7 linked regions of the Mus musculus genome follow. The protein of the gene in region 7 interacts with the protein of the main gene of each other region in a biochemical or structural test. Links are inferred from orthologs where the notes say so. Each region holds a gene or a part of one and is shown on either strand. Other genes may lie near its edges. The genes, in order: Nacc1, Pparg, Zbtb16, Ywhaq, Nr2c1, Camk2d and Hdac4.

Region 1 (4,217 bases), on a different chromosome or scaffold from region 7:
AAAACACTGAAAGCAAACTGACCACTTTAGCGGAGGCTGGGCTTGCCTAAGGTCCTCACTGAAGAGCAGATATGACCAGTGCACCTTCTGTTCTAGTTGCATGTGGAGGGGCCACCTGGCCATTTCTGCCTTCATACTGCAGGGCCAACTCCCACCAGTTTTGCATTCCAGCTGTAACTAGTTGACACCATCTGTCCTGGATACCTGACTCATTAAGGCCTAGGAACAGCCAGCCAGTCTATGCCCCAGCAGTTCCCCTTGGTCCACATCGGTCTCTGTGCATCAACAGCTAAAGCAAAGTTGCAGCAGCAGCAGCCAGTGGTGAGAATAAAGGTAATTCTAAAGATGCTGAGGTGATATCAGCCCAACTAACAGAGACAACTGAGAGGCAAGAGGGGGGTTTTCCTGGAGAGCTGCAGCAGCAGAGAAAACAATCTGAAAGCACCAAGTTCTGTAACACAGGCTGCTGGACCAGTCCTCAGCTCCCCTCCCCCATCAAGAGACCAGGCTGGAGGGCATGGCCCAGAAGATGGTGGAGTTCTGGAAACTCCAAGGATAAGAGGGAAAATGGAGACTCAAGAAAATCATCAATAAACCCAGTACTGCCTGATACCAGCAACCCAGAAGTTTGTAGCTGACTCTGGTGCTGAGGATGTCCAGTCAAAGTCACCAAGACAGTGTGTGGTCCTCATTCCTATACAATCCCCGCACTGGGCTGATGGGCAAGAGGGCTATAGTTTAAGACTAGTTAGGCTATAATAAGTTCAAGGTCAGCCTGAGCTAGAGTAACATCAACCAAAAAAACAACACTAAAACAAAAACTTTACCCTTCCAAAACAAGGAACACACTGTTAACCTTGCAATTAGTCTAGAGTTGGAGCAGTGTGCTAAGAAACCAAAGTAAGGCGCACAAAGTCCAGGCAAAGCAAAATCTCACTCCCAAACCACTACCACCCTCTTCTACAACCACTTCCTGCAGCAGAACCAGCACTTTCATGAGCCCCGTGCCCCTGACTCCCAGATGCGGGATGGGAGAGAAGGTATGAGCAGGATGAAGAAGCCCACACACAGTTCCTTGGAACTACTGCAAGGGGATTGACTGAGCCGGTCTAGAGAGCCCAGGAAAGGCCAGGTCCAAGAAGACTCCAACAGGGAATTGGAACAGCAGGAATTTCTCTGCTGATACCCAAGGAGGGCGAACTTGACTTAATAGGCATAGGCCACAGTCTAGTCATATGACCAGGGACAAGCCCCGCCCCGAACCCCAGCTTCTTTCTCTGAAAAGAGAAAGCCAAAGACCCAGCGGTGGCGAGTAATCAATGAACTAGCTGGTTCCACGCTTAGCATACAACCTGCCCTAGAAGGGGCACCAAGGAGGGAGGGAAGGCCCTGGGACCAGGAGCCCTCCTTCTCCCTCCCCCAGGCACAAGTCAGGATGTGTAGGTACCTGTTTTGTCTCAAAGACACAACAGAGCTTCAGGCAGTCACCATCCCAGGAGGCGACAGAATATTTTATCTCCCAGGAGGAGACAGAATTCAGGCCCAGGCAGCAGGTTGGGCCTGGAAAGCTAGGGCGTATTGCAACGCTGTGAGGGCTCATCTTCTAGACTGGAGCCCCCAGGTTCCGGCGCCAGAAGGCTGAGAACGATTTCAGGACTCTAGAATAATCAGGTAATGTCTGCTGGGCTGCCTCCATAGTGGGTGGGGTAGGGCGGTGGGTTGAGTAGGGGCCATACACACCGAAAACAAGATGTTTGAACTAGGTATCCGGTGCAGCCCACGCTAACTCCCATCCAGCCGCTGGCCTGTCCTTGTTAGCAGTTGGCCAAGGTGTCAGAGAAGAGGCGTGGGAAAGAGGAACCCCCCCCCCCCGGTTCTGACCCTAAGCAAACATACGGAGATGTGTGTGTGTGGGGGGGGCAGATCCCTTAGCTCACACCAGGTTTTCCTAACCTGCTCCCCACATCCTAAACCATAGGCCCTGGGCCGCCTGCAAACTCCCAACACGCCCAGCCTTACCTGATGCCCTCCCGTCGGAGTTTACCCGCACATCTCTAGTCTCTGACCTCGTGCGACCCCCTGCAAATATCTTAGGGCTCTCTCCAATCCGCCCCCACTCGAGCAAGCTCCGCCCACCCCCCCCCAAGTCTAACTTCCCGGGCTTTTCCTCACCTCCCCCCAAGGCCTGTAACCTGACCCGCCCACCCCCTTCCCCAGCGCCCTCTACCTGCAAGCTCCGGCCCTCCCGCACCCCTCCAGGCCTTTTCCCTCGGGCGGCGCAGCCCTCCGCCCTCCCACCCCCCGCCAGCCCGAGGCCTCCCCTCCCCCCTCCAGCCTCGCCTGCCGGCTCCACGCGATTACCCCCTCCGGCCCTGAGACTTCAAGGATCCCGCGACCCGCGCCTCCCCCGAGCGGCCTTCAAGCCCTGCGGGCCGGGCCCGCGGGCTGGACGCTGTAGGCCGCCAGCTGAGATTCGGCCATCTCACTCTTGCCCTCCCGCCGCTGTCAGCGCCGCGGGCTCGGCTTCTGGTTCGCAGCAGGGCGCCCGGAGGCCTCGCCTCTCGGCCCTCCGCCGGAACCTCTGATGTCCTCGGGCCGCCCCGGGCGGGAGGAGGCCGGAATTGGGCCTGGGGCGGGCCATCTCACCTGCGCTGTGGCCGCGCTCCGGGGCCTCCCGGCGGGCTCCGCAGCGGCAGCTGGGGCCGGGCCTGGGCCCGGGGCGCGCCTCCCTGCGCCTCGGCCTCGGCCTCCGCCTCTGCGGCCTCCGCGGCCTCCGCCTCAGCAGCAGTGGTAGCCGCGGCGGCCATTCATTGTGGGCCAGGCCGCCCCAGCCGAGCGCCGAGGAAGCGCACGGCGCTGCCGGCAGGGAGGAAAACTGCCTCGGCCCCGCCCCTTAGGCAAGCTTAGCCGCGCTTCGAGCGCTTCGGTTCTCACCAGCTCCTCTTTCCTCCCGGGTCTCGGTTCTGTAGACGGGCTAAGTTGAGTGACTGCGGGACAGGTTGCTCTGTATCTTGGAGCTTCAGTTTCTTGTAAAATGAGAACAACTGTTGTTCCAGGAACAGTTTAGGCTCTTTGTGGAAATGAGGTTTCATGGAGCTGAGCTGAGTAAACTATCAAGATCACAGGAAAGTGAATACGAAGATTTAAACTTAGGTTCAAGAGGTTAATAAAGTGAAAACTCAGGATGCTTATGCGATGTGAAGTTCTGTTAGCATTTTGCACTAACTCAGATAATTATACGTCTTATAACTAATGTTAGAGAGGCCTGACTACTTTTTGGATGGGTAGCAGAGTCAAGAACAGAAGAGTGCGGACTGGATTAAGAGTGTCTACTGGCCGGGCAATGGTGGCACACACCTTTAATCCCAGCACTTGGAAGGCAGAGGCAGGATTTCTGAGTTCGAGGCCAGCCTGGTCTACAGAGTGAGTTCCAGGACAGCCAGGGCTACACAGAGAAACCCTGTCTCAAAAAAATTAAGAGTGTGTACTGCTCTTGTTGAATAGAGTTCAGTTCCCAGCAGTCATGTCAGATGGCTACAGTTCTAGAAACTATCACCTTTTTGCTCTTTGAGGACTTACACACAACTGCACACATACACAAAAATAACAAAAAAATAAAATTTTGAAACAAAATAAGTACCGTTGGGCCTGGTAGAAATGCCTGAAATCTCACCATATGAGAGACTGAGGCAGGAAACTCTAATCTGCCCTGGGCTATATAACTCCAGGACAACCTGGATTAAGAGTGCCCTCTACCCCCAATTAACAGATAACATATAGCAAGGCAAGCTAAGATAACTCTCACATCCCGGATCTCCATATTTTCCTGATGCATACATTAGGCCAACACTCAGTCTGAGTGGCTCCTTTGCACACTTCCCAGGCATTCGGTTATTTAATCTTTGCCCTTGACAGCTAAGATTCCTATTTAACAGGTAAGGGAAATAGGAGCCTTACATTTTAATTAACTTGCCCAGAGTACGTGGTGGGACTGAGATTCAAAGACAGTGAATACTATTCTAGAGCCTGAGTTAACCTACAAGGTGCACACAGAAGACATCTAAAGGTGCAGAGTGCCTCCGCTTTTTGCCCTGAATTAAACTAGTGAAACTCCCTTGTAGAAGAGTTGTATTATTAAGAATCACTGGTGTAGTGTAGCCTGCGCACTTCCTTCCCTAGAAGAGTCTTGACCCTGGTCGCCCACTGTAGGTAATGTC
Region 2 (3,691 bases), on a different chromosome or scaffold from region 7:
TCTCTGTTGTCCACACTCAGGAGAATAAAGGAAGTCAAGGGGCTAGGGACTTGACATGCTTGGAACCGTGTACTTTATCCCTAGCAAACTGGGCCAGGGGTGATAGTGCACCCTTGTGAAATCCCAGCACTTGGGAGGTGGAAGCAGGAGGATCAGAAGTTCAAGGTCATCCTCTGCTATATACCAAGGTTAGGTACCAGAGGCCTTGTCTAAAAATGTTAAGTCACTTATTTTTTGTTAATATGCATTATAATACACTATGACACCCCTAGAACACCAGTAGAGGAGGAAGAGGCAGGAGAAGGAAAGCATTTCTTCTAGGTTCTGTAAAATCATCTTCATCCACTCATAGTTCTCTCAAGGTTAGACTCTGACTCTCAGGGATAACACAGTACATTTAAATTGTTATAATTGACTCTGCCTTTTCTTTATCCTCTTCTTACTAATGATGCCAATGGTGAAGACTTAGGGTAAACCAAAGCGAGATGTCCAAGAAACAGTGAACATGATTTGCTCCTAGTTGTCTTCAACAATCAAAGGCAGCAAGCCTCTGAGTCCTCTAGTCTCTCCTCTCTGAGGTGTGATGAGCATTATGGTTGAAGTGAACTGAGGACAGCAGTATTTCTAGAGCAACCCAACCCTTAAGTGTTTGGAAATCTACTCAGTCTAAGAGTCCTCAGTGTGGAACAGACTGAACTTGGTGAAAATCAGGGATGCTTATCTGCAAGAGTCCGTAGTTAAATCTCTAGCCAATACATCTTGAAGCTGGTTACTCTTGCCACTTATAGAACCCACACCCATTTAAATACACACACACAGAGAAAGAGAGAGGAGGAGAGAGACTGAGAGAGAGAGAGAGAGAGAGAGAGAGAGAGAGAGAGCATACACAATAGAAATACAACTAGAATCTCCTCTAGAAAAGAATGGAAACCTTCAATTTTGTCAGCTTCCCAACAATAATAGTGCGGGCTTTTAATCCCTGCACTCAGGAGGCAGAAGCAGGTGGGTCTCTGAGTTTGAGGGCACCCCGGTCTACAGAATGAATTCCAGGACAGCCAGGGCTACACAGAGAAATCCTGTCTCAAAACAAAAACAAAAACAAAACAAACAAGCAAAAACAAAAACAAAAAAACAAAAACAAAAACTTGAGAATTTGGAAGAGTAAATGACTTTCCCTAAGTCATATAGTTAAAGCACTCACCCAGCAGCTGACAAGGCTCACAACCATCTATAACCCTAGTTTCAGGGGATCTGACACACTGACCTATACAAGCACTAGATACACATATGATACACTTATATGCATACAGGTCAACCCCCTTATACATAAGAGAAAATAAATAAATCTTTGGGGAGGGGGAAAGATTGAAAACCAGGACCCAGATAGCCTCAGTTTTTATTCCAGTGCTCAGCTATATAAATTATTTAATAAGATTGAGGTTATCTCTTTCTAGGGTTCAGTACATGTAATAAGTGCAAAATGTTCCTTCTCCTAGTTGATCAACCTTGAGAGTTTCACAATGCTCATAAGCCTTTGGCTAGTTCTTTTTTAAAAGAAAATAGGGAGAAGAGTGTCATGACAAATATGAATTACCTTTCAAAGCAACCTGTTTATAAGCCTGAGTAATTGATCCATTTGTTTTATTTATTAGTTGATCCCTAAGAACACCTATATTAAAATGTAAGTTCAGAGCTGGGACTGCAGCTCAGTGATAGAGCATTTGCTTAACACACAAGAGGCTCTGTGGTTCTGTCTTCAAAACTACAAAAAGTAAAAGCTCAGAGCCATTCTTATTTTACTATTCTTTGCAATGTTTTACCCACAGGCCTGCTACAGCTGCATTTTCTGAAACAGATGGCTTCCAGAGCACAGAAAAAAAAAAAATAGACATTTTCTTGGCTCAATATTTTTAATCTGCTTTGAGTGATTTTTTTTATAGTGAAATAGATTTTATATGTTCACTGTGTTTCCTTTATGGTCTGAGTAAATTTAATCTAATGCTGTAAGCTTAGTTTATGTTCAAGTGGGTCTTTTCAATTATAAGTTGCTTTAATTATTTTTTTGTTTAAAAAAAAGGCTAAATGTATGTTCTCTTGAAATTCAAGAAAGACAACAGACTTTTTGTCAATTTAGTCAGTCTCAGGGTAACATAGTAGTAGTATAAGTTGAAGGAAGAAAGAGCCGAGTTGAAGCTGGGCAGTGGTGGTGCATGCCTTTAATTCCAGCACTTGGAAGGCAGAGGCAGGCAGATTTCTGAGTTCAAAGCTAGCCTGATCTACAGAGTGAGTTCCAGGATAGCCAGGGCTACACAGAGAAACCCTGTCTCAAAAAAAAAAAAAAAAAAAAAAAAACCAAAGAAAAAAAGAGCCAAGTTGATAAAATGTTTGCACACAGCAGATCAATGATAAATAGGAAGAGCCTCTCTCCTGTTTAAGTGCCTTCATCTTTCACAGTTTTCCTCAGCAAGGAAATACATATATAAAATAGTCTTCAGGACTAGGGTGATGCTCTCTCAGAACAAGGAACTCAGCCACTTTCCCTTTTTCATTTGCAGCCATTTGTCATCTACGACATGAATTCCTTAATGATGGGAGAAGATAAAATCAAGTTCAAACATATCACCCCCCTGCAGGAGCAGAGCAAAGAGGTGGCCATCCGAATTTTTCAAGGGTGCCAGTTTCGATCCGTAGAAGCCGTGCAAGAGATCACAGAGTATGCCAAAAATATCCCTGGTTTCATTAACCTTGATTTGAATGACCAAGTGACTCTGCTCAAGTATGGTGTCCATGAGATCATCTACACGATGCTGGCCTCCCTGATGAATAAAGATGGAGTCCTCATCTCAGAGGGCCAAGGATTCATGACCAGGGAGTTCCTCAAAAGCCTGCGGAAGCCCTTTGGTGACTTTATGGAGCCTAAGTTTGAGTTTGCTGTGAAGTTCAATGCACTGGAATTAGATGACAGTGACTTGGCTATATTTATAGCTGTCATTATTCTCAGTGGAGGTAAGATTCATCTTTTGATTTTTGTCAAAGAAGATGGGATTGTGGTGGAATTGTTGGTGGGATTGTGTCTCGGTGCTCTGTGCTCCTTTTTACTGACTGTGCGTGTTGTGTAGAACATGCCAATGGCACAGTGCCGTGAGCATGTCACTCCCCAGGCTGAGAACCATAGGCTTGCAGAGTGAAGGTGGTGGGGATCCCAGGTTCCTCGAGTTTGTTCATCACACTGCTCTTCTCCAGCCAAATCCAATCATGAAAGACAAATGCCCTCTACTTCTTTCATGTTCTTTTTCCTTGTCTTGCCCCCTTTCTTCCCAAAAGGCCAATCTGGTCTTCGGTTCATTTTAGTAATGATGTGTGTAACTTAACTTTGATGATGCTTCTGTGGTATATAGCAGGCAGCACTGTGAGATCTTGGCCCAGTTAACACTTGCACCCCACCTTCCCTGCATCAGGAATCAGGGAATGTGCATTTGCTAAACTCCACCTTCTCTCTCATGTGGTTCTCCCTTTTATGCCTTTGTAAGGCACTTGGCTGTGATTACGAATACAGTGTGAGCCCAAGAGCGTACCACAAAGAAAGAAATTGAACTACTTGGCAGTTTGTTGAAATTTGGGCCTTACAAATATCTGATCTAACTAACCAACTCCAAAAGACACATTTTATACTAAATGTTACTTTCAATGT
Region 3 (3,691 bases), on a different chromosome or scaffold from region 7:
TTCATCTTGTTGAGGAGGGCTCCACCCTTGTAATAAAAGACTTTGTTAAGCCTGAATCTGGTAATACCATCCCCTTGGGGGTAATGATTTTTAACATACTCAGTTTTGCAGTGGGGAAGGGGACATCTAGACCTTTACAGCACTCCAGCCCTGTGGCCCCGCTTTGCCTGTGGGATGCCTTCCATCTATGCTGTCTGTCCTCTGTGATCTGACCTCCCCAGTTTGCCAGGCTTGTCTCCATCCTCTGTGCTACCTCCTCTGAAATCCGTTTGCAGCTCACTCTTAGCCATTTTCTTTTACCCCTGGCTTCTCAGATGCACCCCGTTTCTCGGAGCTGAACTCAAAATCTCTGAAGCTCCGTTGGAGCCACCCTTTCTTATCTATGCTCTGGATGGTATTTCTTGACCAGGCTTGGTATCCAGCTTCTCTACTCCATCTCAGCCTCTTCTTGGTCACTTGGTAATGGAGTAAGACAGGTAAACGGACACAAAGCAAATTCAGGCCATTCTGTGAGATGCAGGTGGCCCAGGAGAGCAGCTTCTAAGCACTTTGGGAATAGCAAGGGGACAGGATGCCACTCAGTGTGCTCTGCTAGGTGGCATATTTCAGGGTATCCTCCTGGAGTGACATTCATTCACTGTCCAAGTCCATACTGGGGATCTCAGAGTAAGAATTAAAAATGTTGGCTGGTAGAAGCATGCCTGTTCAGGAAACAAGCTCGCTCGGTCTGAGCACCTAGCCTAGTTAGGCTTTCTGTGGGATAGAGTTCAGGGTAAAGCGGGAATAGGTGCTGAAAACCTATGACACTGGACTGTGGTGCTGTGTGCATTAGAACTTGTTTGTGGGTGGAATCTGCTCTTGCTTACCGGGCTGGACTGGACACTGCAGGACTCAGTGTCAGAGCTTGTAGCTGCTTCTGCCCAATGGACTACCTCTTTCGTGGATGTCCTCCTGCATCGGATGGGACTCTCTTACTGGCTCCTTCCTGTGGATCTTGGGTTTGGAAAGTTTAAGTTACCTGTGTCCAATGACCTGCCTCTGACTGTGCTTCCCGGGCCATTTCTAGAGTGATCCCAGCATGCTTTGGTGCTTGCTCCTTACTGTCTAGGGGAAGCCCAGATAGACAGATATGTCCCAAATGAGGTTCAGAAGCTAGGAAGTGACTCAGTTGGGTACACTGACTGATGAGCAAGCATGAGGACTTGCATTTGGATGCCCAGCACTCACATAACAGCCAGGCATGGCTTCCTGTGCCTGTAATTTCCCCCTGCAGGTAACAGGGACAAGCCAATCCCACAGCTCCCTGGCCAACTAGTCTACCCAAAACTACAAGATTCAGTGAAAGGTCCTGTCTTAATAAAATAGATGGAGAGCCATCCTGAGGTTAATAACCTCTGGCCTTCAAACACCCCATCACACACGTACACCCTACAAAGGTACATGGCACACATACTAAAGACTCTAAAATAAGTGGGATTCAGTTGGTGGTTTCTACAATCAAATGGACCAAGGCATTTTCTAGATTCCCAGCTCTACCTCTTTCTCACTGTGTGACCTTAGGCAAGTTATTTAATCTCTATTTTTCTCTTTGGAAGAAGGTGGCAACAATGCCTGCCCATTAGGGATGCGTGTTTTAAATGAGATGACAGCACAGATAAAGCACCTAGTGGAAATGGTGGTCTTTAGTGTCCTCTCCCTTCTGCTCTCAGACCTTTGGAGGACACCAGGGGTTCTTCCTCCGTGCAGCCCTCCCAGCTGTTGGTTGATGAAGCAAGCATGACCACAGGTAGCTAGAATGCAGTGTCTGCAAAGAGAGGAGCCAACGGGTAATTGTGTGGTGGTCCTTGCCACAGCTCCTTGCCCAACATTTTGGATTCCCTATCTCTAACAACATCAGCTACCAACGCAAGCCCATATGCTTTTCTCTCTGCCCATATTTGGGTGGCATGGCCTGTGCTCAGTCCCACAGTGCTGTCTCTTGTGCAAGTGACACCAGTGGAAAAGGGAGGTCCTTGCCTTTTATTCCAGACCAAGCTACATGTGGTCCTGAGGAGGCAAGACCCAGCCCTCCCATTTGCTGTAGCCATTGCTAGTCAGGGAGGCAGCAAAACTCTTCCCGTTCCTTTCTCTCTCACCTGGCCCGAAGAGCTTCCTTATGCCCCACTGAGCAGCCTGAGACTTTCAGTAGCCCAAATGCTCTGGTGCTCCTTCCTCTTTGCACTCAACTGTCAGACCTTGACCTGATCAGCTTTGAGTTGAGTCTCAACTGGAAGGCTGTGTCAGGAAGGTGTTGAGGGATGGAAGATAGCAGCCTGCCTTTGCGGGCTTCAGTAGGCACCTAGGCTACTGGGCCAGCCGAGCAAGTGACCAGGTAGAACTGAATGAATATTTCATGTGACTCACTAGTTGGAAATCCTTTAACAACTTCTTGTTGGTCTGAGGATGAACCCCTGGGCTTTGTAGTATGGCTGGTCAGGACCCACGTGATCTGGCTCCTGGCTCCTGGCTCTTCTTTCTTTGTATGTTCTCCCTGCTTCTAACGTTAGGACTGGTCACTGTGCTCAACCTGGTGTGGCTCTCCCTGAATGCTCACAGACTCGGTTCCAATCTCCATGCACTGGGTGCTGGGTGCTACTGAGATCAGAACAGGGACTAGTATACTCTTCCCCAGCCTTTCATCCCCAGAACCCCAGAGAGAGTCTCCCTTCTAGGAAGTATCACAGTACAATAGAATGAAATGACTCTCACCAATGCCTGAATTTTTTTTTAAGATGGGAGAGTGGTTATAAGAATATAGTCACCAGTGGTGGTGGTGGTGGTAGTGGCTCACACCTTTAATAGCAGCGCTCAGGATGCAGAAGCAGGCAGATCTTTGAGTTTAAGGCCAGCCCTTGTCTACAGATAGAGTTCTAGGACAGCCAGGACTACACAGAGAAATCCTGTCTAGGGGGTTGGGGTGGGGCACTGATCTAGAGCTAACCCAAGGGAATAAATGAATGAATCCTTTTACTGCTCCCAGTTGGGAATCCAATGGCAATTGGGGTGGGTTAATCTCCCCGTGTTTCTTTCTCCTTACATGAGGTTTGTGGTTTTCAGTGAGTTATGTCACAACAGTGGCCAGCTCGTGTGATCCAGGTTATTGTTGGTTCACACAGAATTTCCCGTCTCCCCACTGCTGCCTCAGACTCTGTAAGGTCCCCGAGTTCACTCCCTTAGTCACCTGCATTGCGTTCAAACCTCTTGCAGAGATGCATCTACGTTACCATCCACATGGTTTTGTATCTTTCTCCCCAAACCTTTAGGTCTCGTGGAGGTCGGGCACCCGTTGGAGCTACATTCAGGGTGCTCACGGACTGGACTGTGGGCTTTAGGATCTCTAGGGGGCAGCGCTGGGTCTTCAGGGGTGAAAATCTGGCCTTGGGTCTCTCCGTTGCTGAGGCTCTCCCGTTGCTGTCTCCCACAGGCACGGACATGGCTGTCTTCTGTCTGCTGTGTGGGAAACGCTTTCAGGCACAAAGCGCACTCCAGCAGCACATGGAGGTCCACGCAGGCGTGCGCAGCTATATTTGCAGTGAGTGCAACCGCACCTTCCCCAGCCACACGGCTCTCAAGCGCCACCTTCGCTCACATACAGGTAGGCTGGTCCAGGGGATGGGTGGGGAGCATCTCTGGACCTTATCTCTGGGCTTCA
Region 4 (4,463 bases), on a different chromosome or scaffold from region 7:
AAACACCTTCCCTCAAGCTCTATCCCAAATCCTCCCCATGGCAATCACTTCTAACACTGCTCCCTCAATACTCACCCTCAAATCTATTATCTCTGTAGAGTCTTATCTGAGGTTTGTTTCCTTCTAACTAAACTGCATTTTATTCATAAACACCTTATAAAAATTACCTAGCACAATTCTCTATATTACAAATTGTTCAAGGACAAAAAAAATCAAATCAAATCAAATCAGTGGTTCTCAGCTTTGTTCTTCCCTGTATTGTTTAACCTTTCAAAACATATCAAGCTCTCCAGAATATCTGCCAACTGGAGACATGCTTTCCCGGGGTTCTTCTCCAGGTTGGTCATCAAGGCAAAATTCAGCTAATTTGTGCATCAGTGTACAAATTAGTCAACCTACCTACCTCTTCTATTTCTGTCTTGTGCACGAAAAAAGCACTACTGTCCCAATTTCAAAAGTTCTCTTATTAAAAGGATATGCATGAGAGGTCTCCAATAAATGTCTGGTCACTCTCTCAAACCGTATCAAAAAAAGGAAAACTCCCACATCTATGCTTCCATAAAACCCAAATTTTCTGGGCTGGAGAAATAGTTCTGTGGTTAACAGCACTTGCTATTCTTGCAGAGGACCCCAGAACCCAGTTGAGTTCCCAGCACCCACATGGTAGCTAACAACTCCAGTTACAGGAGATAACCCCTGACCCCTTCTTCCAGTCTCTGGACAATGCATCCCCATAGGTGGTATACATACATACAGGCAGAACACAATTCTTTGTTGTGTGTAAGAGCTGCAAGACGGAATAAATATTCCTTTGTTTCAGAATTAAACTGATAGTTTACACAAAAATCTGGTGATTCAGAACTGCATGGGTAAATAAACCCCAAAGTGTTAACAATAGCCATCAATATATGGTATTAAAGTCTGCTATTACTATCCTAGTTGACATCTCTTGAATGTAAAAAAATTCAGGCCAAAGAGCTGCCTCCCCTAAGCTAAACAGGGACTGGAACTTAAGATCACATAGATGTTAACAGAACAAAATGGCATCTTTACAAAACAGAGTTTTCTGCACTTCACTACCAACTGATTGCTTCTGACCCCTAACATCTGTATCTATCAGCCATGATTTTGCTCAGATAATCTCTTTTGTTTTAGTAAAACAGGTAGGTTTTACACAACAGGGAAAAATGTTCTAGGTTCCATTGATTCGATGTGATAAAGAAATGAAGGCTAGAAGGGAAAGCCCCTTTTTCCCTTCTCTTATGAAACCCTGCATAAAAGACACCTAAAAAGATCCAGGGCAAGCCTATCAGCTACCAGCTGCCTCATATAAAGGTGGCATGTGAAGAGCAAACCCAGCAGCTACTTCATCATCAGTCTATAACTACCTATCAATGTGAACAGGAGTCACAGTTTGCAGCATTAATATCTGACACTCTATGGCATGCTATTTAAATTTTAGAAACTTGCTTTATTGAATAAGAGATCTGGGCAATGAATGACTCAAGATTTAAAAGTGCCCCCTCTAATAAGGGTGAATCATAGCAGTTAACATCCCGGTTGGGACTGGATAGTGCAAAACCTGGAAAGCCTTCCTTGCCCATCCACACCAGAAATGCTTTCATTTCCATACACCGGACTAAAGTGAGGCAACAAATAGAAAACAAACAAACAAACACTATTAAATAGTGAAATTTGACCAGGGCATGGTATTCTTCAAATTATCTGTATCCTTTTCATCCAGTGAACTCATCCACCCACCCACCCCCACACCTCTTTAGCAAGGAAAGGCTCAACATATTCTTACATGAAAAATAAAACATGTCTAGATTTTTCACTCCTAAATCTTGGGGGGCTGGGGAAATTCTAGCATCTCTATGGTAAAAGTCCCCATGCCTTCTACGACATGAAAGAACTTACAGATCTCAGGACCACTCTCCTGGCACAAGGTTAAATAGGTCTTTTTCAGTCTTGTGCAAGCCTACGCGGCTACTCCCCCCAAGTTTTTGTACCCCAGAGCTTGGGAAAAAAAGAGTTACCCACCCCCGAGAAAGCTCTGAAACAGGTAAGAAGGAAGCCTGGGGCTCAAATCACAAACTCTCTATCCCACAGGTTTCTCCCCATCGGGAACACCACACAAAAGGGGTGTCGCTCCCGCCGCCCTACTCCCTCACTAATGCCGGCGCCAACTCACCAGGACCGTGGTGCAGATGGACCTCAGCTCCGACTCCACTTTCTCCCGATAGTCCTTGATCAGCTGCAACTTCTTGTCAGAGGTGTCGGTCTTCTGCTCAATGCTCGAGATGACCCTCCAGGCGGACCTGCGGCCCCCTACCACGTTTTTGTAGGCCACCGACAGCAGGTTGCGCTCCTCGTTGGACAGCTCGGCGCCCTGCTCCGTCACGGCTTTCATGCAGGTGGCCATGTCGTCGTAGCGCTCGGCCTGCTCGGCCAGCTTGGCCTTCTGGATCAGCTCGGTCTTCTCCATGGCGAGCGAGGGCGAGCGCCGAGCCGGATCCGGAGTCCTCCTGAGAGCCGCGAGGGGCGGGGCGGGGCGGCGCCGGCGAGGACAAAAAGGAGCGAGGAGAGAGCGCGTCAGACAATGCAGCCGGACGCCCGCTTTGTCTCAGCGCACGAGGCGGCGCGTCCTCCGGCCTCTCACGGGGCCGCCGCCTTCCGCCCGCGCCCTCCGGCCCGCCCGCCGCGCCTCCCCAAGGCCGGAGCGCGGGCCCCACCCGGCCCAAGATGGAAGCGGCCGTTGGTGCCGCACCTTCCCGTCCCAGCCCGAACCTCAGGCGCGCGGTAGCCTAGCAGATATGAGGACCGTGCTCCGCCAACCCGGCCTCGGTACCTCGCGGCGGCTGTTGCAGCCGCAGTCCCAGAGCTGTGTCCGCACTCACCTTCTAGTCTCCGCAGCCGCGACGCGAGTCCCACCACTTTGATCTGCTTTGGGCTTTAGCCGAGGACCCTCCCGTCTCAGCCTAGCACGGAGCCGACGAGCTCGCCACCGACCAATAGAACGCTGCACCTCCCCAAGGAGTCCCGCCTCTAGCTTCTCCTCTGTCCAATGAGGGGCGAGCGCGCGGAAGGGGGCCCAGGGGGCGGGGCGGGAAGCGAAGCGGAGGCTCCGAGGGTGGGTCGGCTCGGGTAGGTTCGGTTGGCCCGCAGGCTGCGGCTTCGGCCACGGGGTTTCCTCCAATTAGATCCAGGGTGAATGGACGTCACTGTTGCCATGGCGATGCTTTTCCAACTCCCCTCATCCTCCCCGCCAGCCCGGCACTCCTGGGTGCGGCACGGGACCGGAGGTGCTTTCGACCTCCGAGGCTGCGACCGCGTGTCCTGTAGCAGCAACCACTGCAGATGGGGCGTTGCAGCTCTCGAGCTGCTGCGGCTGCAGCTGGACTTGGCAGGGGTGAGATAATTAGCCCTTTTGATGCACAAGCGCCTTCCTTTCTTCTACCTTCCTGTTCTTGACAAAGGTTTGTATCCCCAAGACATTAAAATGCAACCCTTACAATTTTCCTGTTTCGGCTACAAATTAGAAATATCCTGATCCCCATTAAAAAAGGATTCGTTCCCAGAGAAAGTGGCTTAATTCAAGTTTTCACACAGGCACCCGAAAGCCAGCAATTCCCTTATGGAAAGGTAGATTCAGGAGATCTGGGCAGGACTGCGTGGCAGCGTCAGGTAAGCATTTCTTTAAAACGGGGAAATGACATTAAGCACGATTTGAACAAACACAGCTGTGACTACCCGATCCCCGGAAGCATATTTCTTAAACATTTCTTTACTACTTTTCCACATTAATGTCTAAGTACACCCTGCCCCGAACACACACACCTTTGTACTCTGTAAAGCATGTATGCATGCTTTTGTTTTTTGTGTGTGATGGGTTTTTTTTCTCCTGATATATTTGTGAAGATCTCATGTTTTTCTCTGCACAATAAACACCCTTCTGAAATGAGAGCATTTGCCCCAGATGCCATGTATTCAGGGTCACAGCTAACATTTTTCTCCTTTAAATAGGCTCCCTTATTTCCTAGCCCTCAATCCAATTCCTAGTGAGGTGGCTGTCCTACCGGACTCAAAGAATGAAACTGCCACCTGGGCTCTGAAGAGATGCCAGTTCCAGTAGTTCCTCAAGGGTTCAAAGAACTTCAGTGACTGCCACAGGCAAAGTGGATTCAAATGCTAAACGGAACCAAGCAGACCGAAGACTGCAGAAAGGAAGGTCTGACACTGAGCACAGATGGGGGGGGGGGGGGGAAGAGACGAAGCTTCCAGAAATTCAGATCTCCTCCCAGCTGCCCCTCCCTACCCAACTTGTAAAGGTTGCTTTGTGCTTTGACCAGGAGAGGCCTGGTTGGAAAGTGACTCTACTCTGTCTTAATACAGAAACGCCTTACTATGCTCCAGTGCAGCGGCGGACGGCCCGGTGTTATTTCTGGAATCCCCAAGGCCAG
Region 5 (3,691 bases), on a different chromosome or scaffold from region 7:
GATCATTGTAAGCCACCATGTGGATGCTGGGAATTGAACTTAGGACTTCAGGAAGAGCAGCCAGTGCTTATAACTTCTGAGCCATCTCTCCAGCCTCCAGGAGTTTTACTTGGAGCTATCTTAAGTACTGGCACAAATAAATCTAGCAGGGAAAAATAAGAGGAATAGAGGTAGGAAGTCTGTGCTATCCTTCTGCCTTTTCAGATGGGTTCACAATAGGGCACAGATGATCCTCAAATCAGAGTGTAGCCCAGGCTGGCTACCCTTGTAGTCATCACCTTTCGAGTTGCTGGGATTACAGGCAGTATTCCATTCTGTTTGGTTTGGATCTACCCCAAGTTAATTTTCAGATAACATTTATTTTAAAATGAAAGAAACTGGGAACAGTTTTAAATGTCCTTTGCTTTCATGTTAGAGATAACATTTTTAATAGCATAGTGAAGAATTTTATCAAATAAGTTAAGCTTTAGAAACATGAATTAGAGGCTGGAGAGATGGCTCAGCAGTGAAGAGCCTTGACTGCTCTTCCAAAGGTGCTCAGTTCAATTCCCAGCAACCACATGGCAGCTCACAGCCATCTGTAGTGGGATCTGATGCTCTTCTCTGGCATGCAGGCATACATGCAAACAGAACACTCACACATAAAGTACATACATAAATAACAATCTTTTGAAAACAGGAAACAGAAATTATTGCTCTGCAGTAGACAGAGCATGGGATGGGACTAAGGGCTCAGACTCACGCAGGATGGGGGCGGGGAGGGGGGAGAGGTGGAAGAGGGTCTTTAGTTAGGCTACATACCTTATCTGGTGCCATTAGCATAGCTGGCTCTGTTTTTATTCCAGACGGATGAATATTCACAAACATTCCTGAATCCAACAGTCCAGCTGACCTGCAACAAATGAGGCACAGGTTTTAGTCTCAGTAGATCTGGGAAGAGAAGCAAATGATGCACTAATAGCTGCAGGGCACCTGGCAGTCTCGCTGTCTGTTACAAAGGTTGGCGTTGCGGCTAGAGGGCTTCGGAGGTCTTTGCGGATGTAGATTTTTTCTGTTGAAGCTGCACAGTTGGAAGATTTTTCTCGGGAAACTTCAATGGGTTTTCTTTCACACTGAACAGCTACAAAAACATGTTAAATAATTACACTACAATACAGACTCCATGGAAATCTGTAAATTTAAGCTGCTTGTTTCCAACATGGCTAATGAGAGAGTCACGGTTTCTAGCTGAATTCCAAAGGCAGCCATCAATCTTCACAAAATCTATGCATGTTCAACAACATTGCTCCCTGTATTAGCATTCTGACTGCTGCGAACAGACACCACGACCAAGGCAACGCTTATAAAGGACAACATTTAATTGGGGCTGGCTTACTGGGTCAGAGGTTTAGTCAATTATCATCAAGGTGGGAGAATGGCAGTGTCTAGGCAAACTTGGTACAGGAGGAGCTGAGAGTTCCACCTCTTGTTCTGAAGGCAGCTAGCAGAATGCTGGCTTCCAGGGAGCCAGGACAAGGGGCTTAAAGCCCATATCCACAGTGACACACCTACTCCAACAAGGGCACACACATATTCAACAAGGCCACACTTCCAAACAGTGCCACTCCCTGGGCCAAGCATATTTAAATCCCTATTAGTAAAACTGGTCAATTTACCTGTTATTCCCACCTCTCTCTACTGCGGCACTCCAATGGAAGAAAAATAGAACTCTTAAAACCCAGAGCTACACAGAGAAACCCTGTCTCGAAAAACCAAAAAAAAAAAAAAATAAAAAAACCAACCAACCAACCAAACAAAAAAAACAACCAAACAAAAAAACCCTCACTATCAAGAAGGAAGAACTAAAGTGACATGCCCCTTGTATATAGAGAACTAAAGAAAAAGAAACTTGACCAACTGAAGATAATACTGATAGAAAAGGCCTAAGTAGTGCCTTTCTAGTTAGAAAATAAATCTGTCTTACACATAAGTTCATCTATACAATATGTGATATCTGTAAAAATCTTGTAATATCTAAAGAGGAGGCAAAACGTTTCCTAAACCTATTTTCTTTGGGGGCAGAGGGGAGAGCAAACCATCAGAAAATTTCAGGCACCTCTTAGTTGTCTGCTTTGCTGAGTTTCCAACCTTTCTCTGTTAAGGTGGTAACAGTGTAGTGTAACCAGGCGCAGAGAACTGTGCTGAGATTGTGAGGACACATTAGCCCGTGGACAGATCAGTATTGGCTGATGCTACCAAGTCCACGTTTTGGGCATCTGTCACAAAGCACACTGCTGTCTAGCACTTTAATGATCAGAGTTCTAAGTTTTACAATGTAACACTAACAATGCTACTGAAAATTTAGGAAAGGCAACAAAATCACTAAGAATTCTATTATGCACATTATGTTTTTAAAATTCCAAGATAGCTTACGAAAATCATTTGAGTGCTAAGTGTCAACTGATGTGTTTGTCACAGGTTATTGTGTTATCAAAAATATTTGTTTGTTAAGTAATATATATATACATATATATTACTTAACATATATATATATATAGTCATTCTATTGTTAGTTGGACAGCTATGGATTAAAAGGCCCATACCATGGTTTGAACAAGAAGAGCTTTGCTGGAGAAAGCCTGTCCTTGTGAGTGAACTCACTCTACTTTCTCTTTGGGGCTAAAATGTCATCAGCTTGCCTCATGGTCCTGCTAGCTCACTGTGCCTCCCTGCCCTCTGGAACCATAAGCCCAGATAACGTTTTTCTTCCTTTAGTTCTTTTTGTCATGACGTTTTATCACAGGGACAGAAAAGTAACTACTGCACCATGTAATCTTGAGCTGCTTAAACATGCTAAGTCGTATGCACTTTCCATTCGCTGGAGTGTTAGAACCACGCCCTCTTTAAGTCAAGTACGTACAAGAACCACGCCCCCTTTACGTCAAGCACGTACAGTCTTGCTTCATCCCGAAGGCAATGCACCTCTGCAGCCTGCAGTACTGGCAGCGGTTTCGGTGGTGCTTATTGATAACGCAGTCTTTGGATCCTCGACAGGAATAGACTAGGTTTTTCCGGATGCTTCTTTTAAAGAATCCTTTGCAGCCTTCACAAGTTATTGCTCCGTAATGACGCCCTAGAGATGAAATGTTTAAAAGCATACTATAGGTCAGAAGCAAAATAAATTCATCTTTTCTGTTAAAACAGCAATATATAAAACGAAATTGTGATTTTGAGATTCTGACAATTTTTTTTTAGGGTTTATTTAAGTAGAAAATCAAAACAACCATACCCAGTGGTAAGTTTAATAATGATACAGAGTTTTAAATTTTATAATGTAACATTAAAAATGTTAGAGCACATAAAAATGAAAACATAAAATTTTACATCCTGTGCTGGTGATTTATGAAGCACTGAATAAAGTTAGTCATTAAGTTAAAAAAAAAAAACCTTAGAGAACTTAGGAAAGACAATAAAATCATTATCAAAAATTCTATTATTCACGTTAACATTTTTTATTCTGAGAAAACTTACAATTATAGTTTTGCCATACATTGTGTAACAGTGTGCGGGTTTTTGTTTGTTTGTTTGTTTGTTTGGTTGGTTGGTTGGGTTTTTTGTTGTCTTTTCTTTTCCTCCTGCTGAGGACCAAATCCAGCACCTTAGACTTGTTAGGCAAGCATTCTACCCCCATCTGCATCCTTGGCTATAACAG
Region 6 (3,691 bases), on a different chromosome or scaffold from region 7:
CATCCTGACTGGGCCAAACCAAGTCAGAGCTGCATAACCCCACCCCAAAACAAAAGTAATGTCATTTTTGACAAGTGTTCTAAGAATAAACATCTAAACTATAAGTCTATCTGTCTGTCTGTCTCTCCCCTCTTCCCCTCCCTCTTTCCCTCCTTCCCTCTCTCTCTTCCTCCCTTTCTCCCTCCCTCCCTTCATTCATCCATCCCTTTCTTCCTTTTTAAAACAGGGTCTCACCATGTACCTTGAATGGCCTAAAACTCTATGTAGAGCAGGCTAGCCTTGAACTTACAGAGTTCAACCTTCCTCTGCCTCCAGAATGTTGGGACTAAGGACATGCATCACCTGATGGCCTTCCCCAAAAGTATAAGTTTATCAAATAAGGCAGAAACTTAGTTGCTGCCTCAGCCCACTCCATATATGTCAGGTTAGCACTTGCCAACGTTTGGCTTTTGAATGCCTAGTGCTTTTTACATAATCTATCAGGGAGGACTCCAAGACTTAAGCATCCTTTCCTGGAAGTAATACACACTTTACGTCCATTGTGGAAAGTCACTTTTAGAGAAAAGAAACTTCTTGGCTGAATTTACCTCGTATGTAAGTTTCTTTTTTTTTTGTGTTTCCTTCTGTCACCCCCCACCCCATGCAATCATTTTGAGGAATACTATTATTGGATGACATCCCCATATGCGCATGTGGCCAGTTCTCTGTAACTTCTCATTAGGCAGCTTTAGTCCTTGTAATTAGTCTAAATGAATGTGAAGACATATTAGTTCAAAGCAAATTAGGCCTATAAAAATAGGGTTCTACAAAATGACTCATTTTAAACTCTTTCTTATAGCAGTTCCCTATAGTAATCAACAAACAAACAAAAATCCTCATGGTTATTTATGAAATATCAATAAAAATGAGACATACATATCATTATTGTGTGACCATAGCATTTGAGACTTAGGTGTCCAGTATGAGTGGAGTCCTACAGACAGCTACAGGACTATAAGAAGTCTCCCCTTCTCCGTTGTGTGATGTGTGTGTGTATCATTTGTAGTTATTAGACTTTCTCAATTCTCTTAAGAACACACACAGACACACACAGACACAGACACACACAGACACACACATACACATACACAAACACACACACACATTAGAGAAGGTCAGAGGTGAGAGGACAAGGAACAGAGTTCAAACATGTATACCTGAAAAATTTCTCGTAGCCAGCATAGTTGTCAAGATGGCGCCCTATCAAAGAAATAAGAGAAATGGATTATAGTTGGCCCTAACAAACCTCTGACCTAAAATCAGGTAGCAAGGGCTCACAAATCTCTGGGCTTTATTTTCAGATAGGGACTTTGCGGTGTCTGCTCTTTGGCTTTGTTTTGTTTATTTGTTTCCTGGAAGCCCTAGCCTGTGGCTCTCAGCATGTTTGGGCAGCTCTAACTTTCTGAGCCACATTTAGATCATCAAGCTGAACAGCTGCTTCCTCTTAGGAGAGAAAGCCCAGCACATACTGCCCTAGCCAGCCTATTTGCATCCTTGGGCTTGATTATGGAGCATGCTCCGTTTCCCTCGGATCCAGGACTGACTACTGAGATCTATAGCATCAAAAGCTTTGCCATGACTTCTGCTTTCAGTAGCTTTCACCTCACCAGATCAACCCTCCAGCCCTCCCACAACAATGTCAAATTTCTTACCTTCAGTTTCCGTCTAGCATTAAATTTCTTCAAGCAGTCTACAGTCTCCTGCCTGTGCATCATGGAGGCAACAGTAGAGCGTTGCTAAAAGAAGAGGAGAAAGGGTGACTTGATATTTAAAACATAGCAAGAACGAGAAAGAGTCTCAGTTTCATCCGATCTTTACATATAGTCACCTTGCAAGTACTCAATTGCCAAAGTCTCCTACGAAAAAGCATGGTTTTATAAAGATTGCTAGTGACTGAGCTTAAACACTGACAAGTAGAAGGTACACAAATGAGGATCACTAGACTCTCAGATCACTACTTTGGCAAGCATTTCCTAGTAGAATACCTTCCCCTTACTTAGCAGTATATCCTAACCGTAGAAATTTACAGAAAATTTCAAACTCTCTTACAATATCCTTGGTTTTTCCTTAGGGCTTCTACAAGACAGTCACACTACTGCAGCCATCGTGTAGCCCCTAAAACTACTTCTAGCTTCTAAGCCTCACATGTTTCTAAGGCTGTTGAATGATAAAGAATTAGACTTTGTAACATTTTCCCTTCTGGGGTGCAGTAAGTATTCAAGTCATTATCTTAGTCCCTGTTCTTGAGTCTTATCAGTTACTGGCATAGGAACACCTCATTCATCTTACTACAGACAATACTTAGAAAATTGGGCAGTTTAGTTTGCTATACTGGCAATGGTGGTTTTCACGACTATAAATTTATTTCTTAAATACTAAGGTTCATCTTTTTCTGTAAGATTATTTTAAACTTATGAAAAGTGACTAGGGGTTTATCCTTCAGTTTGGCTCCTGGGGTGCATGCGAAAGTGACTTACACAGATCCATGGGTGTTTCAGGGCCTCAGAGGCTGTGATACGTTTGGCAGGGTTGATGGTCAGCATTTTGTTGATGAGGTCTTTGGCTTCAGGTGTCACTGTATCCCATTCTGGTGACGGAAACTTCAAAGATAGAAATTAGTAAAGAGTTTTTAAAAATAGAGACACTAAGCTAGACGTGTTCCTACATGCCTCTAATCCCAACACTAGAGAGGCAGAGGCGGAAGGATCACGACTTTTAGACAACCTTCAGATATATAGCAAGAGCAAGGGAAACCTGGTATACATGAGATCCTGTGTTAAAACACACACACAGTAACACACACACACACACACACACACACACACACACACACACACACAGAGTAAAATAGAGAAAATCCAAATATATCCCTCATTTCTATAAGCAGTGCATTGTTTCATAAAATTTGCCATTATGTAAGTTAAATTATATAAAAAATAGATTAATTCATACCACTGTCTGCTGCAACAAAGAAATAACTAACAAGATAAAATTGGTCATGTTTATTTTTAACTTGATCCACTGGTTTCGATGTGAACATGTCTGAGATATTAATGTGTGAATTTCTAAAACACTTAACTATAAGTAATGCTGACAAGATAGGCATGATTTTGCAACTGGGTGCCCCATGAGCTGGCCAGAGAAAGAAATAATCTTGAGTTGTCATCATCTCTTATTCTACCCTACACGAAACCATTTCCCCATCATGTTGTGTAGAAGGGTAGATAGCACATGGTAACTGGCTGGACAGTGGCTGGATCCTGGACTGAGAGGCCGATCCAGAGCACTTCCCAAAGCCAAATTTGCACTCAAAAAAAGACTGTGGCCACTGCTTGGTGGTCTGTTGCTAATCAGATCTACCACAGCTTCCTGAACCCCAGAAAACCACTACATCTGAGAAGTATGCTCAGAAAATTAAACAGATATAACACAAAATACAGTGCCTACAGCTGCCTGGTTCTTTATGACAACACCCCTGTATATGGCACAACGCTTCAAACATTGAATGAATAGGGCTATGAAGTGTTAAATCATCTGTTAAGGCCACCTGCCCTCTCCCCAACCGGCCAAACATCTTCAAGCATTTAGATGACACTTCTACAACTAACAGGATGCAGAAAATGCTTTCTAAAAATTCATGAATTTTTATGCA
Region 7 (3,691 bases):
GGCGATTGTGATAGGCTTACTTCCCTGACAGCCAGGTTTTGGAGCCTCTATATGCTGCATGACCCCAAGACAACGGTAGGTGTGTTCTGTCACCTGTCACCACAGGATAAACCCTGGAGATGCTCCATCCACAGTTTGGCTGCTATGAGCAGTACAGAAGAGGATTGTGGACAGGTTTCTGTGAGACATTTCCATTTCTCTTGGAGAAAAGCTGTTGGGCTGTTTGCAGAACTGTCACTGAGCTGATATGGAAGGTATCTGACTTACAAACCTGAAGGGGACACACTAAACTCTCTGTCCCTGCTCGCCAGCAGCACAGTACTAACTTTTCCTGTAGATGGGGCTGAGAGACTCTGACAATCTGACAGTACACAGACCTCTCCAGGCTGGCCTGCTTCCAAGCTGCTTTTGATGGTATAACTCCCACATTTAAACAGTTACAGGTGCCAGGTGACTTGAAAAATATGTTTCAGGGACTTGATGCCACTGTAAAGTTGTAGGCCTTTGGTGAGAGTTTGCTTAAAGATCTACTTGGCAAATGACTTAAGAAAGTCCCTAAAAGAACTGCCTATGTGGATTCCCACACAAGGATGCAGAGGCCTCTTGCAAGGATGCGGCCCACTGCTTACAGGTGCAGATGGGCTGTGAGGAAGGCTCCACACAACAGCATACCTCCCTAGGCTCCCCACCGTGCACCAGAGTGTGTGCTCTGTTTTCTCCCTTCCCCATTTTGGCCACTCATGGTCAGCAGGGGCTGAGGGAGGACAGCAAGGAGCACCCCGTCTGGCTGCAGGTGACTAGCTCTAGAAAGCAACAGGACACACCCACCTTGCTGAGGTGCAGCTGCTGCTGCTGGAACTGTTGCTTGTGCTTCTCCAGGAACTGCTGGTGCTGCTGCTGGATCACCAGGTGCTGCAGGGCCTGTGCGTTCTGCGGCAGGGGTGCTGACTGCGTGCGCCCCAGAGGGCGGTGCTGCCGCAGCTTGTGAATGGATGGGGACACCCTGTCCGCACCAACCAGGGACTGTGAGTGGAGGGGCAGCGCCCCCAGGCCTGAAAGATACCAGTCTGAAGATAATATGGAGGAAAAAAAAAACAGCAGAGGGGAAAAGGAAGAAGAGAGGGGAGAGATGCTGTTGAGTAACCAGTGGAGAAAATAACATGCCTGCCAGCCCAGGCACCTATGACACATGTCTGCAAACAGGCTCGATTCCAGCTAGAGGCTGTAAGCCTGGAGCTTGGGCTTTAGCAGGGCAGAGAAAGTAAAGTTACCTGGAGATCCCATTGATGCAGTTTCTCCAGGAGCTCACCAAGGAGCACTCCAGAAAGTATGGCAACAGCCTAGCATCAGCTTGCCACACATCCAATAGACGTTTCCAGAGGATGGCTCTTCTAGCTCATGCACATCCCCAAATACCAGAAAGAAGAACAGTTTGCGGCTGACATGCCGAAACTCAGGGGCAAACTGACACCCAGGCACTGTCAAGACCTTGACCTTCAGTGGATTCTACCACAGGAGATTTTGTATCAAATACAGAGTGGCACTGGGAGAGGAAAGAAGGGCTGCACAGGGAAGGAATCAGATCTTCCCTAGAGGCATGACAGCCGGGCTTCAGAGAGAGCAGGCCGGGGCAGTGACAGCACAGCATGCAGATGGTGCAGGGCAGCAGTGGCTGCAGGACAGACAGACAGAGTTCAGAGAAGTGGAAGGACTCAGAGAAGAATGTGTGCTTCACACACTTCCCTTGGTCAGTCTGCCCGGGAAGAGGGCTGTGGTGCAAGGCTGGGGTCTCTGCTAAGAGCTGACCCATTTGTCAGTGGTGTTGTGTTTAGATCGTGCTGAGATGACAGCCATGCCACGTTAAGTAGTGGGATGCTACCCTACTACTTTGGCTTGAATGTTCACAGGTCTGGGCTCTACACACAGTATTACTCTAGACAATGGGGAACGTGGGCCTCTCTGGACCACTGTGGCTGAGCAGAGGAAATCCTGTTCAGGAGGCTCCTTTCCCAGCGAGAGCTGCATCAGAAGGGGTGCTGGGAAGACTGGATAGAGTGCTGGGGGAGAGTCACAAACACAGCCCTGACATCCCAGCACTTAGAAGACTGAGGCAGGAGAGTCCGAGTTTGAGGCCAGCAAGATTTAATATCAAAACAGCAACAGAGGTTCAAATAAATACAATAAAGAGACAAACCAAAACCAAAACCCAGCTAACCCCAAAGGAAAAACCTCAACCTGGAGATCAGCACCGACTGGGCTGCTGGGTGTCAGACGCTGCCTACGGGAACTGAGTCTTTTCACTTTGTCACTCTGTGCTAGCATCTCACTCATAGATGGGAAGATGAAGCCCATGGTCCCTGGCTTCCAAGAGAACAGACAGGAAGGGGCCTGAGTGTAGGGAGCGGTCCATGGTCACTGAGACACTGCTCTCAGAGCTGGAGGAGGGTGTCCCAGCAGACCAAGTGCTGTTCCTGTCCAGATCACTGACTTGGGAGAGCCAAGGGCATACTAGGGACAAAAAGCACAAGACAGGAAACCAATACCAAGCCCTACAGACCAACTCACCCCAGTAGGTGGGAACTCTAACACACCAACCAGAGGCTGGCCCAGGGGAACACTGGAACATGGACAACGCCAGTTCTAGGATTGCTCTGGCTGTGATTCTGAGTGAAGCAACAGGTGTGAAGAAGTCACCCACTGACCTAAGGATGATGTAGAGAACTGGGCCAAGTCACCAATAGGGAGGGTTGTGTGTCTCATGAGAAACATTCCACATGCCATCATTTCTGAAACAGTCCCTCCAAAGTGTGGTAACTGGGTAAATGTCACGAGTTTACTTTGTCTCAAACTTGTATTTTTCTAAATGCAATCATCCTCAAGCTGAGAAATCAACGGTCACTTCTGCACTTCATGCACTTGCTTCCTCGAGCTGTAGGGAAACCAATCAGTGGGAGAGCAGGAGGCTAAACAGAGGGCCACTGGCACTGACTGGTACTCCTTGGTCATTTTTCTAAGCAGGACACAGTTTTTTGCCACAGTTAAGGTAGCTATCACATTACAGAGAACCATAGAGTTTCTACTGTTGTATGGGCTCAGTTGTTCTTTCCAGCCTTCTTTAAAAGCTACAGGAGGCCAAGGAAACTGCTAACGCCACAGAGATCTCCTTGTGGTTCTTACCTGTGACAAGGGGTGTCTGGGTGGGTGGCTGCTCCAGCAGGACCATGTGCTGCAGGAGGGGGTTGTGAGCTGCTGCACCGTCCCTCTCCAGGGGCGAGGTGCTCAGGTACGGGGTGAGGTGGGTCCCAGGGAACAAGATCCGCTGCTGGAGAGCTGGGAGAGCAAGCCTCTCAGCATCCTGCTGACCTGCCGCACCCTGAAAGGCAGAACCAGTAAACTCAGGCTGTGGGAACTGGAGTAGACAACCACCCCATGCCACACAGACCCACAGAGGCCAACTTACAGCGGCAGGGCCAGTGGCAGGAAGTCCCAAGGTGATGTTGGGTAAGGATGGTGACGTGTAGAGAGGAAGTGGGGCGACTGAGCCTTCTCGAGTCACAAGTCTGTGTGCCAAGCTCGTCTGTAGACAGAAGACATTGTGACCGTCAGAGTCTACTACAGACATTCCAATACAAGCAGCATACCCAGGGCTGCAAGGGCACTTACAGCATGAGGTGCTGATGTGTGGTTGCCT

What was found.
Region 1: the proteins of Hdac4 (region 7) and Nacc1 form a complex in vitro, tested with the Homo sapiens proteins (2 studies listed by BioGRID). The link is inferred for Mus musculus from reciprocal best matches to the Homo sapiens genes HDAC4 and NACC1.
Region 2: the proteins of Hdac4 (region 7) and Pparg form a complex in vitro, tested with the Homo sapiens proteins (2 studies listed by BioGRID). The link is inferred for Mus musculus from reciprocal best matches to the Homo sapiens genes HDAC4 and PPARG.
Region 3: the proteins of Hdac4 (region 7) and Zbtb16 form a complex in vitro, tested with the Homo sapiens proteins (2 studies listed by BioGRID). The link is inferred for Mus musculus from reciprocal best matches to the Homo sapiens genes HDAC4 and ZBTB16.
Region 4: the proteins of Hdac4 (region 7) and Ywhaq are reported together in a solved structure, tested with the Homo sapiens proteins (2 studies listed by BioGRID, with this or other methods). The link is inferred for Mus musculus from reciprocal best matches to the Homo sapiens genes HDAC4 and YWHAQ.
Region 5: the proteins of Hdac4 (region 7) and Nr2c1 form a complex in vitro, tested with the Homo sapiens proteins (2 studies listed by BioGRID). The link is inferred for Mus musculus from reciprocal best matches to the Homo sapiens genes HDAC4 and NR2C1.
Region 6: of the proteins of Hdac4 (region 7) and Camk2d, one has a biochemical effect on the other in vitro, tested with the Homo sapiens proteins (2 studies listed by BioGRID, with this or other methods). The link is inferred for Mus musculus from reciprocal best matches to the Homo sapiens genes HDAC4 and CAMK2D.

What each region holds. Positions count from the first base shown.
Region 1 is NC_000074.6:84,685,029-84,689,245, forward strand, and holds the start of Nacc1 (nucleus accumbens-associated protein 1), read right to left. Parts: upstream 2,835-4,217; 5' UTR 2,647-2,834; intron 2,578-2,646; exon of another isoform or gene 2,341-2,577; intron 2,121-2,340; exon of another isoform or gene 2,020-2,120; intron 1,672-2,019; exon of another isoform or gene 1,296-1,671; intron 1-1,295. UniProt on the Homo sapiens protein: Functions as a transcriptional repressor. Seems to function as a transcriptional corepressor in neuronal cells through recruitment of HDAC3 and HDAC4. Contributes to tumor progression, and tumor cell proliferation and survival.
Region 2 is NC_000072.6:115,470,306-115,473,996, forward strand, and holds part of Pparg (peroxisome proliferator-activated receptor gamma), read left to right. Parts: intron 1-2,555; coding exon 2,556-3,006; intron 3,007-3,691. UniProt on the Homo sapiens protein: Nuclear receptor that binds peroxisome proliferators such as hypolipidemic drugs and fatty acids.
Region 3 is NC_000075.6:48,665,098-48,668,788, reverse strand, and holds part of Zbtb16 (zinc finger and BTB domain-containing protein 16), read left to right. Parts: intron 1-3,463; coding exon 3,464-3,634; intron 3,635-3,691. UniProt on the Homo sapiens protein: Acts as a transcriptional repressor. Transcriptional repression may be mediated through recruitment of histone deacetylases to target promoters. May play a role in myeloid maturation and in the development and/or maintenance of other differentiated tissues.
Region 4 is NC_000078.6:21,414,604-21,419,066, forward strand, and holds the start of Ywhaq (14-3-3 protein theta), read right to left. Parts: upstream 2,834-4,463; 5' UTR 2,489-2,833; coding exon 2,195-2,488; intron 1-2,194. UniProt on the Homo sapiens protein: Adapter protein implicated in the regulation of a large spectrum of both general and specialized signaling pathways. Binds to a large number of partners, usually by recognition of a phosphoserine or phosphothreonine motif.
Region 5 is NC_000076.6:94,164,839-94,168,529, reverse strand, and holds part of Nr2c1 (nuclear receptor subfamily 2 group C member 1), read right to left. Parts: intron 3,113-3,691; coding exon 2,933-3,112; intron 1,121-2,932; coding exon 973-1,120; intron 893-972; coding exon 802-892; intron 1-801. UniProt on the Homo sapiens protein: Orphan nuclear receptor. Binds the IR7 element in the promoter of its own gene in an autoregulatory negative feedback mechanism. Primarily repressor of a broad range of genes.
Region 6 is NC_000069.6:126,795,786-126,799,476, reverse strand, and holds part of Camk2d (calcium/calmodulin-dependent protein kinase type II subunit delta), read right to left. Parts: intron 2,640-3,691; coding exon 2,517-2,639; intron 1,776-2,516; coding exon 1,692-1,775; intron 1,240-1,691; coding exon 1,197-1,239; intron 1-1,196. UniProt on the Homo sapiens protein: Calcium/calmodulin-dependent protein kinase involved in the regulation of Ca(2+) homeostatis and excitation-contraction coupling (ECC) in heart by targeting ion channels, transporters and accessory proteins involved in Ca(2+) influx into the myocyte, Ca(2+) release from the sarcoplasmic reticulum (SR), SR Ca(2+) uptake and Na(+) and K(+) channel transport.
Region 7 is NC_000067.6:91,981,201-91,984,891, forward strand, and holds part of Hdac4 (histone deacetylase 4), read right to left. Parts: intron 3,578-3,691; coding exon 3,461-3,577; intron 3,374-3,460; coding exon 3,178-3,373; intron 1,068-3,177; coding exon of another isoform or gene 1,053-1,067; coding exon 829-1,052; intron 1-828. UniProt on the Homo sapiens protein: Responsible for the deacetylation of lysine residues on the N-terminal part of the core histones (H2A, H2B, H3 and H4).